Linked DNA regions of Notamacropus eugenii. The protein of the gene in region 2 binds, or shares a complex with, the protein of the main gene of each other region. Links are inferred from orthologs where the notes say so. Each region holds a gene or a part of one and is shown on either strand. Other genes may lie near its edges.

Region 1 (7,543 bases), about 370 Mb from region 2:
TGTGCCGCCTGGTGGGGCCCTATGTGCCCTTGTGGCTGGGCCAAGAGGCAGGGCTGTGCCTGGACCCTGGGCCCCCAAGTCATGCCTTTGCACCTTGTGGCCACGTCTGCTCTGAGAAAACAGCCCGCTACTGGGCCCAGACACCGCTGCCCCACGGCACCCATGCCTTCCATGCTGCCTGTCCCTTCTGTGGGGCTTGGCTCACAGGGGAGAATGGCTGTGTCCGCCTTATCTTCCAGGGCCCTCTGGACTAGGGCAGGAGTGTGAGTCTCCTGGCTCCAGGCTGAGGTCCCCCAGCTCTGGGACCCAGGTCTCTTAGCTCCTGCTGTATCAGACTAGAGAGATGGGACAGCCCTCTGGGGCTGCCGTTGGTGGGACTGAAAGGCACCTCTGGCCCTGGCGGCACTGACTCGTGGTGTCTGTAAGATGAAGCAGTTCCCCCCCAGGACGTCTGCCTGGATGCTCGCTCAGACTGAGGGGGGTCCAGGTGGAGGGAGGGGTGCAGATCACATTCCCGGATCTGCATCACTCTCCAGTGACGGCTCCTCTGGATTGGCTGGAGTAGGGTGGGGTCCCTGTGGCTCTCCTCCATTCACTATCTGATGGACAAAGTCTCTGGTGCCAGGATTTCCCCTCTTGCTTCATCGGATCCAACGTCTAGGCTGGTCCCGGGGACGCCTCCGCCCCGCACGTCCCCCATCATGCCGTGTAACACTGTGCCCTGGCGGCAGGGAAGGAGGGAGTCTGGGAGGGTGGCATCCCCTCCCCCCTGCCCTGCCGTGCTGCTCGCCCCCTGGCAGAAGAGCCGTCCCAGGCCTGAGCCCTTTGCAGTCTCCAGCTGCTCAGACCTTCCTGCTGCTACCCCCCGGGTCTCTTTATAAACCTCACTGCTCGGCTGCCCTTCTCTGGTGTCCTGTGCTGCCTCTGGTTATTGGGGGGAGGCAGGGAGGCAGGGACAGGGAGGGGCCTAGAGAATGAACCTAGTGAAACCCTCCCTGACCCTGAGGAGGAATCTATCCTAGGAACAGAGAGAAGAGCATGGGGAAAGCCCAGCTGAATGAGCCCGGCGTCCTGCAGCTGATCAGGAGTGGAGAACCCCCTTTCTCTGTCCTCCCAATATGCAGTGGCCCATCCCATTTCCTAGGTCACATAGTGCCCAAGCTCCACAACCAGCTCTCCTTCAGGGGCACTTCCCCAGGTATGGCCAGGCTGTATGCCCACTTCTGGGGCTGTGACCTGGCTAAGTCCATCAGAAAAGAGGGAGAGATGGGCCAGCTCCCTGCAGAGGATGAGTGATTGGGGGGGGGGGGGTTGGCTGAAGGGAGCTATGTCCAACATGTACATGAACAAACAAGCCCAGCTGGCATCACCAGCGCTGGAACTGGACTAGACAGCCCTGTGTCACCCTGGGGCAAGGCTGGCCGAGCATCCTCAGGACTCAGCCAGTCTGCTGCTGGAGAAGGCGCAGGATGGCCTTAGACAGGGCTGGATCAGTGAGCCGCTTACCTGGTCAGCAGCTTCTGAGAGGAGGAAGAGTGCCATCTGCTCAATTCCTGTGATGATTCTTGCTAAACGCATTTCTATTCTGTTGTCCAGTCATTTCAATTGTGTCTGACTCTCTGTGACCCCATCTGGGGTTTTCTCGGCAAAGGTAATGGAGAAGTTTGCTGCTTCCTTCTTCGGCTCATTTTACAGATGAGGAAACTGAGGCAGACACAGTTAAGTGACTTGCCCAGGGTCACACAATTAGTAAGTGTCTGAGGTCTCCTTTGAACTAGGGTAAATAAGCCTTCCAGACTCCAGGCTCTGCGCACCATGGCGCCACCTAGCGGCCCATGTAGGCTGACAAGGAAGTAAAAATCATGTCAAAATGTAACCATTTCTAAAATTGCACAATATTTCTAGGTCGTTATTTTAAATTGTTGCATCCCATAAATTTTAGTGTCCTGGGACAAAACCAATCACCCTTCTTTAGTTTCAGCTCCAGGAAGCATATCGAGATAATCAGATGCTGATATTTTCCTGTTACTATAACTTTTAAGGCTTAAAAAGTTTCTTCCTCAGAACAGCCTCCTGCAGCAGTGCAAATATAACTACCCCATTTAGAGATAAGAAAACAAGCAGATCGACCTGGCCACAGTCACGAGGCTCAGTGATGTTGTAACATCAGGTCTTTCACCTCTGTCCTTTGCCCTCTTCAATAAGGAGGCCACCAGGCCGTGGCACAGGGCTAAGCTGAATGGGTTTTTTCCAAATGTTATGATGGCTATCTTTTCATTTGATCTCCACAACAACCCTGAAAGAAAGGTGGAAGAGATAGAATCACCCGCATTGTTCGGATGGGTTATTATTTTCTATATGTAGGAGTAAGAGCACTGAATTTGGAGCCCAAGGTTTGGGGTTTACATTCTAGCTCTGCTGAGTAGTGATATCTGTGCAACCTTGAGCTAGTCACTTATTTCTGGGAGTCTCAGTTTGGCCATCTGTTAAATGGGGAGTTAGGTTGCTCTAGCCAAGAATTCATCACTCCATGGCCAGCATCCTGGGGGTGAACTTCTCCATTCTAATCTAGAAAGCAGTCTCCAGCCTTGGACAGTTTGTTTCATCCTCCAAAACCCCTCCAAGGTGATAAGACTTACCTGTGCTTGCATTCCACTGGCAGTGCAGGGTCACTTCCATGTTATACTGAGCACCCAGAGGGGGATTTCAGGCCCAGAATTAAGTAGGAGGAGGAGAGTAGGCCCGGTGGCCTTTGAGATCTTGCAAACTTCTTCTAATGACCACGGGCATCTTCCTGAAAGGAAGGCCTGTCTTTTTAATGCCAGCCTCTTCTGGAAGACGGGCGGTACCTGTGGGTCAGGGAATGTCATGATCTCTGAAAAATAGAGGTGAAAATCTGCCAAAGGCAATGGAGAGGACTATGGCAGGTGGGTGTCCTCCAAGACACAAGTTAAGTGACCCAAAGGACAAGAGAGCCACTGGACAGATGGAGCACTCTACTGGTATGTTCTAGACTTCAAGTGAAAGCATGGAAAGGCCACGGCACTTTCAATGTGAACTTTGGGGAGGCCAAGGACAAAGTTAGACAGGATGATAAAGCATCATTAGTGGAGTTAGAGTCAGAAGGGACTTTGCAGGTCATCTGGTCCAGCTCCTGCATTTTACAGATGAGGAAAATGAGGACCCGAGAAGTAGAGGAGAGCACAAGTCTCAGCTTAGGGCAGTTAGGGATTGCAGGAAGTATCTAAGAGAATGCCAATCACAAGATGAGATCCAAGAGGTCTAATCTAAAAAGATGAAGTATAATCAAGATAATGTAAAGTTTGAAACTTGGGTCCAAATAAATCAACCACACAACCAAGTGACATGGGGTGCCTGGCTAGACATGTTCCTATGACCAAGCTCTGACTTGCCCAAGGTCCCCCAAGTAAGTTATAGAGCCAGGATTTAAAGCCGGGTTGTCCTGCTCCGTTCTGGTATCTTTCCTGTACAAGACGCTCCTCCATCATCCCAGAGAATACCCCAGGGGGAGGAGAGGGCAGTTAGCTGAGATCTAAGGTCCTCTCTTGCTACTGGGGCCCTCCCCAGCCTCCGGGCTTGTCCCTGCCTAAGGGAAGTCGGGGACCATGTGGTCAATGGGACCATAAGAACGTGGAAATCACAGAGAAAGGCCTCTGGGGAGAGGAGAAGTGAGAGCCCAGAGGCAAGCGCCTCAGCCCACACCACCCAGCCTCCTTTCTTTCCAAGCGTCCTCTGGGTGACAAGGAAAGTGGGGGAGGGGGTAACCAAAGCAGCCTGGCAGCGCGAGAGAGGAGAGCCCTGGGCTTGGAGGCCCAGCCTCGGCTTTCTTTGGTTCTGTTTTGTTAGCTTCCAGCGGGAAGGGTGAGGGCAGGGAGGCCTCAGGTGGGGCCACTAGCTGCCCCTCAGGATGCCCACACTGCCCGCGGGGGGCACCACCGGCCGTCTCTTCTGCTTAGAGACTCGGGCTAAAGAGAGGAGGCGCGTCTGCACGTGGGCCACACGTGCTCGGCCATGACTGCAGGCTTGGGGACCACGCGAGGCTTTGGGGGGCAGCCGGGGTCCTCCATCCGCGCCCCCCATCGGGGTGACTGACTCGGGGAGGTCACCCTCAGTTTCCTCATCCGTAAATGGGCCGGAGAAGCGGAGGCGGCCCCGCAATCCTCTCCGCGGCCTGCTTCTTCTCTCACCCCACGCCCTTCATCACGGCTCCCCAGCCGCCAAGGCCCCGCCTCAAGGGCCACCTCTCACGGTACAGACGACTAAGCCAGGCCGGAGGGGCCCCGGAGAGGCCCGGCCTATAAGGGTCAGAGCCACCCCCGGGGGAGCGAAGGACGGAGATCCCGGAAGGGAGCGGCGCGCGGGCCAATCCCCAGCAGCCCCGGCAGCACGTGCGGGAGGAGGCGGAGACAGGAAGGAGGGGGGTGGGGCCGGCGCGATGGCCCGAGCGATCATTGGTCGCAGGCCATGCCGGTCACGGCGAAGGCGGGCACTGATTGGGGGAGGGGCGGGCGTCGCGAGGCCCCAATGAATGAGCAGCCGGAAGCAGGAAGTGAGTGAGGGAGTGAGGGAGTGAGGGAGAGAAGCAGCTGGTGCAGGTGAGGGCACCCTGGCGGGGGGCAGAGGGCGCGGAGCGGGGTGCAGGCGGGAGCGAGGGACCCTCTCTGCACCCCGGCCGGGATCTCCTAGCCCTGGAAGGTTCTCGATCAGGACGGAGCCGGGGGGAGCCCCGTGTGCCGGCACGTGCCAAAACGCAACAGCCCGGGCCCCTGCAGGAGCCCCCCCACTCCCCACCCAGGGAAACTGAGGCCCTGGGGTAGTGCTGGGACGTGGGCTTGGCGGGGCCCTCCAGCCGCCGCAGGGCATCCAGGGCACCGAAGGGCGGGCCAGCATTCATTAAGCGCCAGCTGTGTGCCCAGCCTGCCCACCACGTGACGATCGATCGGAATAGCCCGTGCCCTGGGGGAGCTTAGCCTAATGGGGAGGGGGGAGAAGGGGGGGACCAGAGGGAGAGGGGCTCCGAGCTCCTCCACGCCTTGTCCGGGCAACCTCCCCTGCGGCCGCGCGCGTGGCCCCTTGCCAGACCCTGGGGGAGACGCCAGAGGCTTGACTCGGGAGGATGCCACTTGCCCGGGGGTCAGGGTGGCTCCTGGACCTTCGCCAGGGCCGGGGGCAGGATGGACAAATGCCTTCTCACAGCGGAGGCAGCTCCTGGGTCTGCGGGGGGCCTCAGCCTGCCCCCCAGCTGCTGTCTCCCGCTTTACAGACGAGGAAACTGAGGCAGGCAGGGGCTCCGTGAGAGCCCGACGCTCCTGACCCCCCAAACCCCCCAGCAGCTCATCCCACCCTTCTTGGGCAGTAAACTCACACCCTAGGAACTTCCCCACTTAGAGGAGTCCCTGTGTGCACCATTCCCTCCCCATGCCCACGGTGCCCTCCCCGCCTCGTGCCCCAAACCCTTGTTGCCAGCCCTGAGGCCGCAAGTCTTAATGCTCTTCTCCTTCACATCATGTCCTGGGTGTTTTATGTGGACGTGTGTGTGTGTGTGTGTGTGTGTGTGCGCGGGTGCGCGCGGGTGCGGGTGCGCCGTGTCCTCTGGCCGGAGCAGACCCTTTACAGAGCTTTGCTGACTCGTTTCTGCCCCCGCCTCACCTTGGCAGCCACCATGACGGACCCCCAGTACATCCTCCCCAACGACATCGGCGTCGCCAGCCTCGACTGCCGGGAAGCCTTCGGCCTGCTGTCCCCCACGGAGAGGCTCTACGCGCACCATCTGTCCCGGGCCGCCTGGTACGGGGGTCTGGTTGTGCTTCTGCAGACTTCTCCCGAGTCCCCCCACATCTACACTCTCCTCAGTCGCCTGTTTCGCGCCCAGGATCCTGAGCAGCTCCGGGAGTGTGCCCTGAAGGAGGGTCTCACAGAGGACGAATATCAGGTGTGCCCCACAGCTAGCTCACAGTTAGGCTGCCTCCTGTCCCCACACCAGGGGTCCTCACCACCAGGTCGGCAGCAGCCCTTCCTGTCCTCTACACACACAGACACACGCACACGCACACGCGCGGCCTCCATGCTCTCTGAGCAGAACCCCCAATGCTGCAGGCCTGGCCCTCCTCTCTTGACCAATTTCCTGCCCCCTCAGGCTTTCCTGGTCTACACTGCTGGGATCTACGCCAACATGGGGAACTACAAGTCTTTTGGGGACACCAAGTTCATCCCCAACTTACCCAAGGTGAGGCAGGAAGTGGAGAGGAAGACTGGGGGGAGGTTGGGGGATTCCCCTGACCTGGCTTTTGGGGAGGGACTGTGAGCATGCACATCTGAACTCGAACCTCTTTTTTCTTCCCCCACCTCCCACCTACCTCATGTGCAGGAGAAGCTGGAACGGTTGGTGTTGGGGAGCCGAGCTGCCCAAGAGCAGCCAGAAGTGATTGAGGGGCTCTGGCAGATCTGTGGGAGCCTCATGTTCTCCCTGGAGCCCCAGCAGCGTCATCTGGGCCTGGGAAGCGAGGTGAGAGCCTGCATTGGAGAGATGCCATGCCATTGGGCCGGGAGCCAGCAGGCCTGGATTCATGCCCCAGGTCCACCGTAGACTGTGTGTGTCTGTGTCTCTACGCGCTCACACGCATGTCTATGAGAGAAGCCATGTCTAGTTGGGACAAGACACCACAATGCCGTAGAAGCGCTCGGGATGCGAATCCCACCGCGATCTCTTTCTCTGTCAGAAGAGAGGGGTGGACGAGGTCAGGGGTCTTCCTCTGGCCTGTTTCCTGGGCCCCTGCTCACTGTCACATCTGGTAGTTCGTGTGATAATTGAAGGAGATGCTCAGTTTCCCTGAAGATGAGTGAAAACAGAGATGCTAGGTGTTTGTTCACAGGGTCCAGGCGAAGGTCTCCAGAGTCCAAAGTCCACTCCTTCTAGGGGATAGTGGAACTGGAGGGGAGAGAAGCCCAGCAGGGGATGCTCTCCTTCCTTTCTGGGTGATTCTATGGCTGGGAGCCTAAGAGGGAGGGGGAGAGTATAAGGATGTGCTGGGCGGGGTCCAGGAGGAGGACCAGAGGATGAAGGGGACTGGACATTTGAGTTGAAGACGTCCAGGAGAGAGAGAGGAAAGCAGCAGCAGCTGCAGGGCCACTGGTAGGGATATGGAAAGAGGAGGACCTGAGTTCAAGTCCTGCCTCTGACATTAGATGCATGACTATAGGCAAGGCCCTTAATTTGTATGAGCCTCAGAATCCTCACACGTTTGCAGTCCTCTGTAACTGGGGGCAGCAGGAAGGCTCACATGGAACACGTGAGGCATGAGCTGAGCTCTGAAGGAAAGTGGAAATTCCAAGTGATAGAGGTGAAGAAGGCAAGCCTTCTAGACACAGGAGACAAAGGCACAGAGGTGGGAGATGGACATTTCAGGGGATTTAATTTAGCTGAACTTTGACCTTGACCCAGGAGCAATAGGGGGCTACTGCATCATTTTGATTGAAAGGGAAGTATGGTCAGATCTATACTTTAGGAAGATTGCTTTCCCAT
Region 2 (7,284 bases):
GTGGGCAATACAGGCTTCCTTATCCTCCTTTTGCACATGAGGAAACAAGATCAGATTACGTGATTTGCTTTTGGTCAAACAGCTAGTAAGTATTAAAACGGGGTATAAGCACTGTGCTAAGTACATAAAAAAATGTATTTTCAAATTATCTCATTTGATCCTTATAACAACGCTGTGGTTAATTGCTATCATTATCCCCATTTTACAGTTGAGGAAACTGAGGTAAACAGAGGTTACATGATTTGCCCAAGATCACACAGGTAGTAAGTGAGATCAGATTTAAATTCCGATCTTCCTGATCCAAAACCTGGCTCCCTATCCTCTCCATTGGTCATAGGATCCTAGGATCCTTATCCAGAGCTGGAAAGAAACTCAGATATCATCCAGTTCAACCCTCTCACTTTATGAATGAGGAAAGAGAGACCCAGAATAGTTAAGTGATTTGTCCAAGGTCATACAACAGAGGCAGATTTGAGGCAGGATTTGAACCAAGGTCCTCTAACTCCAAAAGTAACACTCTTTCTGCTTTAAATCCAGTTCTGTTTGTGCTACCCAATGCTACTCAAAAACTCAGCTCCTCTTACTCTGCCCTCAGGGAGGTTAATATCTACCCATCATTAAAAAACATACCATACTATAAAATTGGATATTATGTATGATTTAAATATGCTTAAGTTCTTAACTACAGCCTTTAATTTTAACTACACCACTGCTGAACAACATCACTTTGTGGTCCACTATGATCCTTAGACTTTTTTTCTACTGTCCTTGACATGACCAGGGATTCCTATCTTGTATCTATACAACTGTATGTCCTGTATTTACTTTTCCTTCATCTTGCGTACCACGATGCTAGACACATAATAACCTACCTTTGTCATTGAGAAGAATCTTAACCTTTTTCTGTTCATGTCTTCAGTTTCCACAGTCTCTTCAAATCTTGATCCTGTTCACCTGGACATAATCTAAAGCCTGAAGATTTTCTTCACCATGCCCCAACCCTTGCCCCAGTTTATGCATTCTGATTTTACCTACAATTTTTACCAAACGTAAATGACTGGGGAGGCATATCCTGGCTTAGATACTATTTGATACTCAGCAAATTACTTATGCTTTCTCTACCCAGGACAATATTCTAAATTTGTGTTAAAGAACCACATCATTAGAAGGTGTTTCCACACCAGAAGTGTCTGCTTGAAATTACATATTTAGATTTAAAACAAACAAATAAATATAATGAAGAAGGGAAATAGGAAATATCCTCTGAACCACTCCAAGCAAAGCCTGATTTGCCAAATGATTTCTCATCTAAATGAGTCAACAGTAAAAGCTTTGGGAATCAATTGCCCAATAAGCTCTCTGCAGTTATGGATATGTAGGCAGGGCATGGGGCTGCTTAATCCAGATAAGACAGAAATGCACTCCCTTCTCCCCGTCTCAGCCCTTTCTGCAGTTTATGGCCACCCTCTCAAACTAAACAATTTCATGGATCTTTTTCAAGCTAAAGACTCTTTCCCCTTCAATTGTAGTCTTTAGCTTTGTTCCCCTTCCCCCAATTCTCACCCCATCCCCAACAAGCCTATGTTTCTAGATAGGATGCAGCTGGTGTTTTGAAAATGAAAGATGGTTCCATCTGTTGCAGATCTCACAGTTCTTCCCTCATCTTCCCTCTTCTCTTCTTTCCCATTTGGCTCATTCCCCCTCCTTTTTAACTCTTTCCTTCTTCAATTGCCCCTCCCCTTTATTTCAATTTCAGCTATTTGGGGCTCCAAGGCCTGGCAGCCAGGACAAAACAATCACAAAGTGGTAGGCAGATTGGCCTCAAATTACTCTCTGGAGGGAGCTGATGGAAGGAAAAAGGAGGGTGCCAAACCATGTCTGCACTAGGTCTCTTGTGTGACCTCTCTCCCAGCCTCCCCTGGAATTGATTTTGAAAGGTTCATACTACAGGGGTATAAGTGTATCGGTTCACAGGGGCAGCAGTCTGGGGGGAAAGCACTGTAATGAGAGTCAGGTTCCTAGGCTCTGACTCCTCATATATAGATTTAAGAGCAAAATAAAGGCAATGAAGTCCAACCTCCACATCTTACCAACAAGGAAACTGTTGAAGGTCACACAACTAGTAAGTGTCTGAGGGGAGATCTGAACTAAGGTCTTCCTGAATCTAGGTCCAGGGCTCTATCCACCATGTTAATCAACCTTTGCTCCTTCCATTATGCAGAACCCAGCTTATCTGGGAGAGTTTCACCTTCAATCTCCTGGGAGGTTGAAGCTCCTTTTTTCTTTCTCAAAAAGACTCATCAACGATGGGGATTGAGGATCTGGCCAGGCCTCCACATCTCCTTCCTCACATGCCCATGCTGTTGCCTACCATCAGTCATAGCACTGGCTGCCTTCTCCTCTTTGACTTGGGGCTATCCTGGCTGCATAACACAAGCCTGCCTCCTTCTCCCCATCTTTAGTCTTGGGTACAGAAGTAGAGAGGACACATTTATTACAGTCATGGTCTCATTCTCATGATTTCACAAGGGAGTTGGAACTTGTAAAACAAAACCAAAAAATTAGGAAAAAAAACCCCCAAAAACCTCTTGGGGGCAGAGTGGGAAAACTTCAGGCAAAGAGAATTAATGAGATGTTCAATAGTTTCTTTCTGTTGCCTCAGCCTCCTGCTGTCAAAAGTTCCCTACCAAGCAGCTTGTTCCTGGCTCATTGTGTTCCCAGTTTGATTTTTCCCAGACAAGCTGCCCTCTACTGCCATTCAAAGTTATTGTTATTTTCCAGCGCTGTCCTCCCTCTCTCTTAATCTTTCTTGGCCCCAGTTGCCAAGATCACCTACAGACAACTGAGGGAGAAGAGAGAAGAAGGGTCCCCAGCCACTCCAGGCTTACCTCTTACTCCAGAACTCAGGGACTCAGGCTGCCTTTTCCACCAAAAGTCCTAGGACACCTTTCTCCAGTCTGGGGGTACTGCAGCTATATTTATACTGGAGGACAGGGGATGAGAGACATTCCGAAGCCTTCCTGTGTTCTGGCTGGCAGGAGGGATGACATCACTCAGGCCAAGGGCGCCAGGGCTGACTAGATCGAAGCCAAACATGTGGATGCAAGCGTCTTTTATCGGAAAAGCTTCCAAATCAACGCACACTTACCCCAGAGAACACTGTGGCTTGGTATAGGCTCAAGTTACATATTTACTAAGTAGACTGGAACCAGGGCCCCAGCCACTCATTGACACATGCAAGTGTCTGTGTATGTGTGTGTGACTAAAAGCTGCTCTCTTGTGTGACCCCTTTCCCAGCCTCCCCTGGAATTGATTTTGAAAAGTTCATGCTACAGGGGTATTAAGTGTATCGGTTCACAGGGGCAGTGGTCTGGGGGGAAAGCCCTGTAGTGAGAGTCAGGTTCCTAGGATCTGACTCCTCATATATGGATTTAAGAGCAAAATAAAATGAAGTCTGACCTCCACATCTTACCAACAAGGAAACTTGTTGAAGGTCACACAACTAGTAAGTGTCTGAGGGGAGATCTGAACTAAGGTCTTCCTGAATCTAGGTCCAGGGCTCTATCCACTGTGTTAACCAACCTTAGGTGAGTCTCTAGGATTCAAATTTCTTTACCTATAAAATGAGGAAATTGAACCAAACAATAGCTAACATTTATATGTGCTAAGTTCTTTACACCTATCTCATTTGAGCCTCACAACCATCCTGGGAAGTAGGTACTCTTATTATCCCTATTTTACAGATAAGAAAACTGAGGTAAACAGAGGTTAAATGACTTGCCCAGGGTCACACAGCTATTAAGTGAATGAGGTCAAATTTGAACTCAGGTCTTCCTACTTCCAGGCCCTCTGCTCTACACATCATACCACCTAGCTGCCCTATAAAATTTTTTGACTTTATGTCTGAGGAGAGGAGATGCCTAGTAAAAAAGTGGCTAAAAGAAAGAGGCAACTTCTCATATGGAGGGCCCTTAGGCTGGGCATCTAGGTGAAGCAGTGAAAAAAGTGCAGGTATTGGAATCAGAAAGAACTGAGTTCAACTCTAGCTACAGACACCTGCTAGCTATGTGACCCCATGCAGGTCACTTAACCTTGTTTGCTTCAGTTTCCTCATCTATAAAATGATCTGGAGAAAGAAATGGCAAAGCACTCTAGTATCTTTGCCAAGAAAACCCCAAATGGAGTCATGATGAATCAGACATGAATGAAACAACTCAATAACAAAAATAGGCTGTAAAATTACACGCACGTAGTCATTTCCAAACCACACAGCTTGCATTCGCATTCTCTCCAGAACTCATATCTCGCTCCCCCCCACCCTGGTCTCTGACAGGTGAGATTTCACATTATCGTTCCTGGAACCAGGCTACCACAATACTCCTTGGCTGCAAGGACCATGTCCTGTTTTTCAACTGTAGCTCCCCTTTATATATGGATATGCTGGTCAGCTTACTCTTGCTCAATTTTCAGCGTGGGCGTTTACAGGGCAGAAATCAGCGAACACTGGAAATCAGGGCTTGATATGTTTTTTTGATTGTCTAGACTTAAGGAAGAGAAAATGTTAATGATGCAGATTAAACTTGATAGTTTTACGTTACTCAAATTTATATTATTTGTATTTATATATTTATATTCCTAACACTTTTCACAGTGCCTGGCCCATATTAGGCATTTAATAATGCCTTTTCATTCATTCAGTAAGTCATGTCGTTGGGAACACTTGTATGAAACAAGGCAGACAAAAGTATGCAAAACTAGAGAAGTAATACACACAACGGCCAACACAACGCAAATAAAAACTGCACTAAAAGGCAATTGAATTCATAGTAATATCAATAACCAATCTTAATCCCTAAGAAGAAGTGGTGAAACATTTACTTCCTCTCATTAGAGAGATGGGTAAGAAATGCTACATATGCTGTCAGTCAGTGGGGTTTTATTTAACAATATCTTTATGACAAAGGAGGGTTCACTGTGAGAGGTAGGGATTATATCAGAAAATGGCTGTCATTTTTTAAAAAATAAAAAGCATTGGTAAATTTTTGAAACTGTGTCCTCCACTTACTCTCCAATAATCCCAGTTGTTCTGAACAAACAGCTTTGATCTTTAATAATATTCCACTGATGATTTATTTTTTAAAGATGAAATTACTATCCAAAAAATCATTCATTTTGATCAAGTTGAATTCATGCTAGGAATAGAAGGATTGTTGCTTCTGCATTAGGAAAACAATCAATATAATTATTCATATTAAAATCAAAAACATCCCAAGCCTTATGATTATTATAGTTTCAAAAAAAGCTTTTGACAAAGAACAACATTCATTTATGCTAAAAGCCCTACAATGAATGAAAAAAAGCCCCACAAAGTATAGGTATAGAGGGACCATTTTTTAAGTATCTTACAAAGTACCTTTCTAAAACCAAAAGTGAACATCATAAACAACTGGGAAAACTGGAGCCTTTTCCACTGAACATAGCAGCAAAGTAAGGATGCCCACTCTCAAACTATTATTTAATGTAATTCTGGAAATGCTAGCAATAGCAATAAGACAAGAGAAAGAAATTAAAGGCATAAAGATAAGTAAAGAGGAGATTTAAACTATCCTTATTTGCCAGGCCTAGAGGCCTGAGGGCTACCCGAGTCTTACCTTACCTATCGCAGGTCTTCGGCTGGCCAAACCGGATAAACTTATGAGAGAAGAGACTTTCCAGAGTCGAACGAGGGTTAGGCTTTATTCAGGGTCTTGGTTACATGTGCAGGGGGAACTCTTCCTTAGGAGAGAGGGAAATCTCCCAAGGAGGCAAAGATCTTACAGTAAGAGAATGAAAGCAGAAGTGGAAGTGGGGAGAGAGGGGAGAGGGACCTTCTGTCCTGTAAGGGTCCCTCAGCGCTAAGAGCGCCTTCAGGCTTTCCTGACCCTACTTAAGCTCTCCTGCCACATAGTTTGCACCTGAATACCGTGCCTGTTAGATAACAATAGGTGTGCTCAGACCCGGGCCAATCTCAAGGGCGGGGATGCTCTCTCCCAGCGTTTCCCACGGGAAGAGGCGGAAATGCACGAGATAGCTCGGTCTCACACCTCAATTCCCTGCTGTTCCCTGGGGGGCCTCATGAGAACTCTAAGGTTTAGAAGTTCTCACCTTTACCCACCCGAGACTATCCACATGGAACTGAGCTTACACCCCCAACACTTATTTGCTTATGATATGATGGTATGCTTAGAAAATCCTAGGGAATCAGCAAAAATACATTGAGATAATAGCTTCAGCAAAGTGGTAGACTACAAAATAAACCCTCAAAAATCAACTGCATTTCTATATAATAATAACAAAATTCAAGAGGCAATAGCAGAAAGGGAATTTCCACCACAAATAATTACAAAATGATCAATCTGCCAAAGTAGTCAAAAGAACAACAAGTAGTTGTAGGAATATTCAATGTTCATCGCTGGGTCCTGCCCATATTTAAAAAAGATAATACTGCCAAAGTTAATTTATACTTTTAATACTATGCCACTCATTCTATCAGAGGAATACTTTATAAAATTTGATAAAAGTAACAACACTAATTTGGAGAAATAAAAGAAGAGAGGAGTCAAAGCTACAGCCCACAGACCTCCCTTGTGGGCCTGAATCAGTTTAAAATGTAATTGGAAAATGCTAAATACATTACAACACAGATAATGTTAATTTGTAGTTTTCTAAGTCAATATGTGAACTGATAGGAACCTATTTCTATTTGAGCTTGACACCACTGATGTAGAATATTAAAGAAAATGATGAAAAGAAATTAGGGACAAAAAGGGAATAAACTACGTTATAAAGCAGCAGTCACTAAAACATAAATGTAGACCAATTGAACAGACTGTGGAGAATTAGAAACAATGGAACTCAATAACCCAGTATTAGTGGAGCTGTGATTTGACGAAATCATTTTGGAAAGCAATTTGCAATTATGCAAATAACATGACTAAAATGTTTATTCTCTTTGACCTAGAAATTCCATTGATGGGTCCAAGGAAGTCCAGGGAAGCCATTAGTTAAAAGAAAGTTCCCATATACCAAAACATGTATAGTATACCTTTTATAATAAAGAATTGGAAACAAAGTAGATGCCCATTGATTAGAGAATGACTAAATAAACTGTGGTATATTAATGTTATAGAACATTATATGCGTGCTGTAAGAAATGATAAATGTGATGAAAACAGAGAAGTGTGGAAAGACCCACATGAACTAATGAAGAATGAAGTAGAGAGCCAAGAAACAATATACACGATG

The links. The genes of interacting proteins can lie anywhere in the genome.
Region 1: the proteins of AGT (region 2) and DPP3 are in contact, whole or in part, in a crystal structure (PDB 5E2Q), measured with the Homo sapiens proteins. The link is inferred for Notamacropus eugenii from reciprocal best matches to the Homo sapiens genes AGT and DPP3. Residues at the interface, in NP_001369746.2 of Homo sapiens: Asp25, Arg26, Val27, Tyr28, Ile29, His30, Pro31, Phe32; in NP_005691.2 of Homo sapiens: Phe109, Glu316, Tyr318, Glu329, Phe381, Gly385, Ile386, Pro387, Ala388, Gly389, Ile390, Asn391, Ile392, Asn394, Arg399, Val412, Leu413, Val415, Ala416, Phe443, Val447, His450, His455, Glu507, Glu508, Asn545, Arg548, Leu552, Glu555, Phe556.

What each region holds. Positions count from the first base shown.
Region 1 is NC_092873.1:19,046,965-19,054,507, forward strand, and holds the start of DPP3 (dipeptidyl peptidase 3), read left to right. Parts: upstream 1-4,536; 5' UTR 4,537-4,616; intron 4,617-5,678; 5' UTR 5,679-5,683; coding exon 5,684-5,953; intron 5,954-6,157; coding exon 6,158-6,247; intron 6,248-6,388; coding exon 6,389-6,526; intron 6,527-7,543. Other genes in the region: PELI3 (E3 ubiquitin-protein ligase pellino homolog 3), read left to right, coding at 1-254. UniProt on the Homo sapiens protein: Cleaves and degrades bioactive peptides, including angiotensin, Leu-enkephalin and Met-enkephalin. Also cleaves Arg-Arg-beta-naphthylamide (in vitro).
Region 2 is NC_092873.1:387,183,600-387,190,883, reverse strand, and holds the start of AGT (angiotensinogen), read right to left. Parts: upstream 3,009-7,284; 5' UTR 2,889-3,008; intron 950-2,888; exon of another isoform or gene 873-949; intron 1-872. UniProt on the Homo sapiens protein: Essential component of the renin-angiotensin system (RAS), a potent regulator of blood pressure, body fluid and electrolyte homeostasis.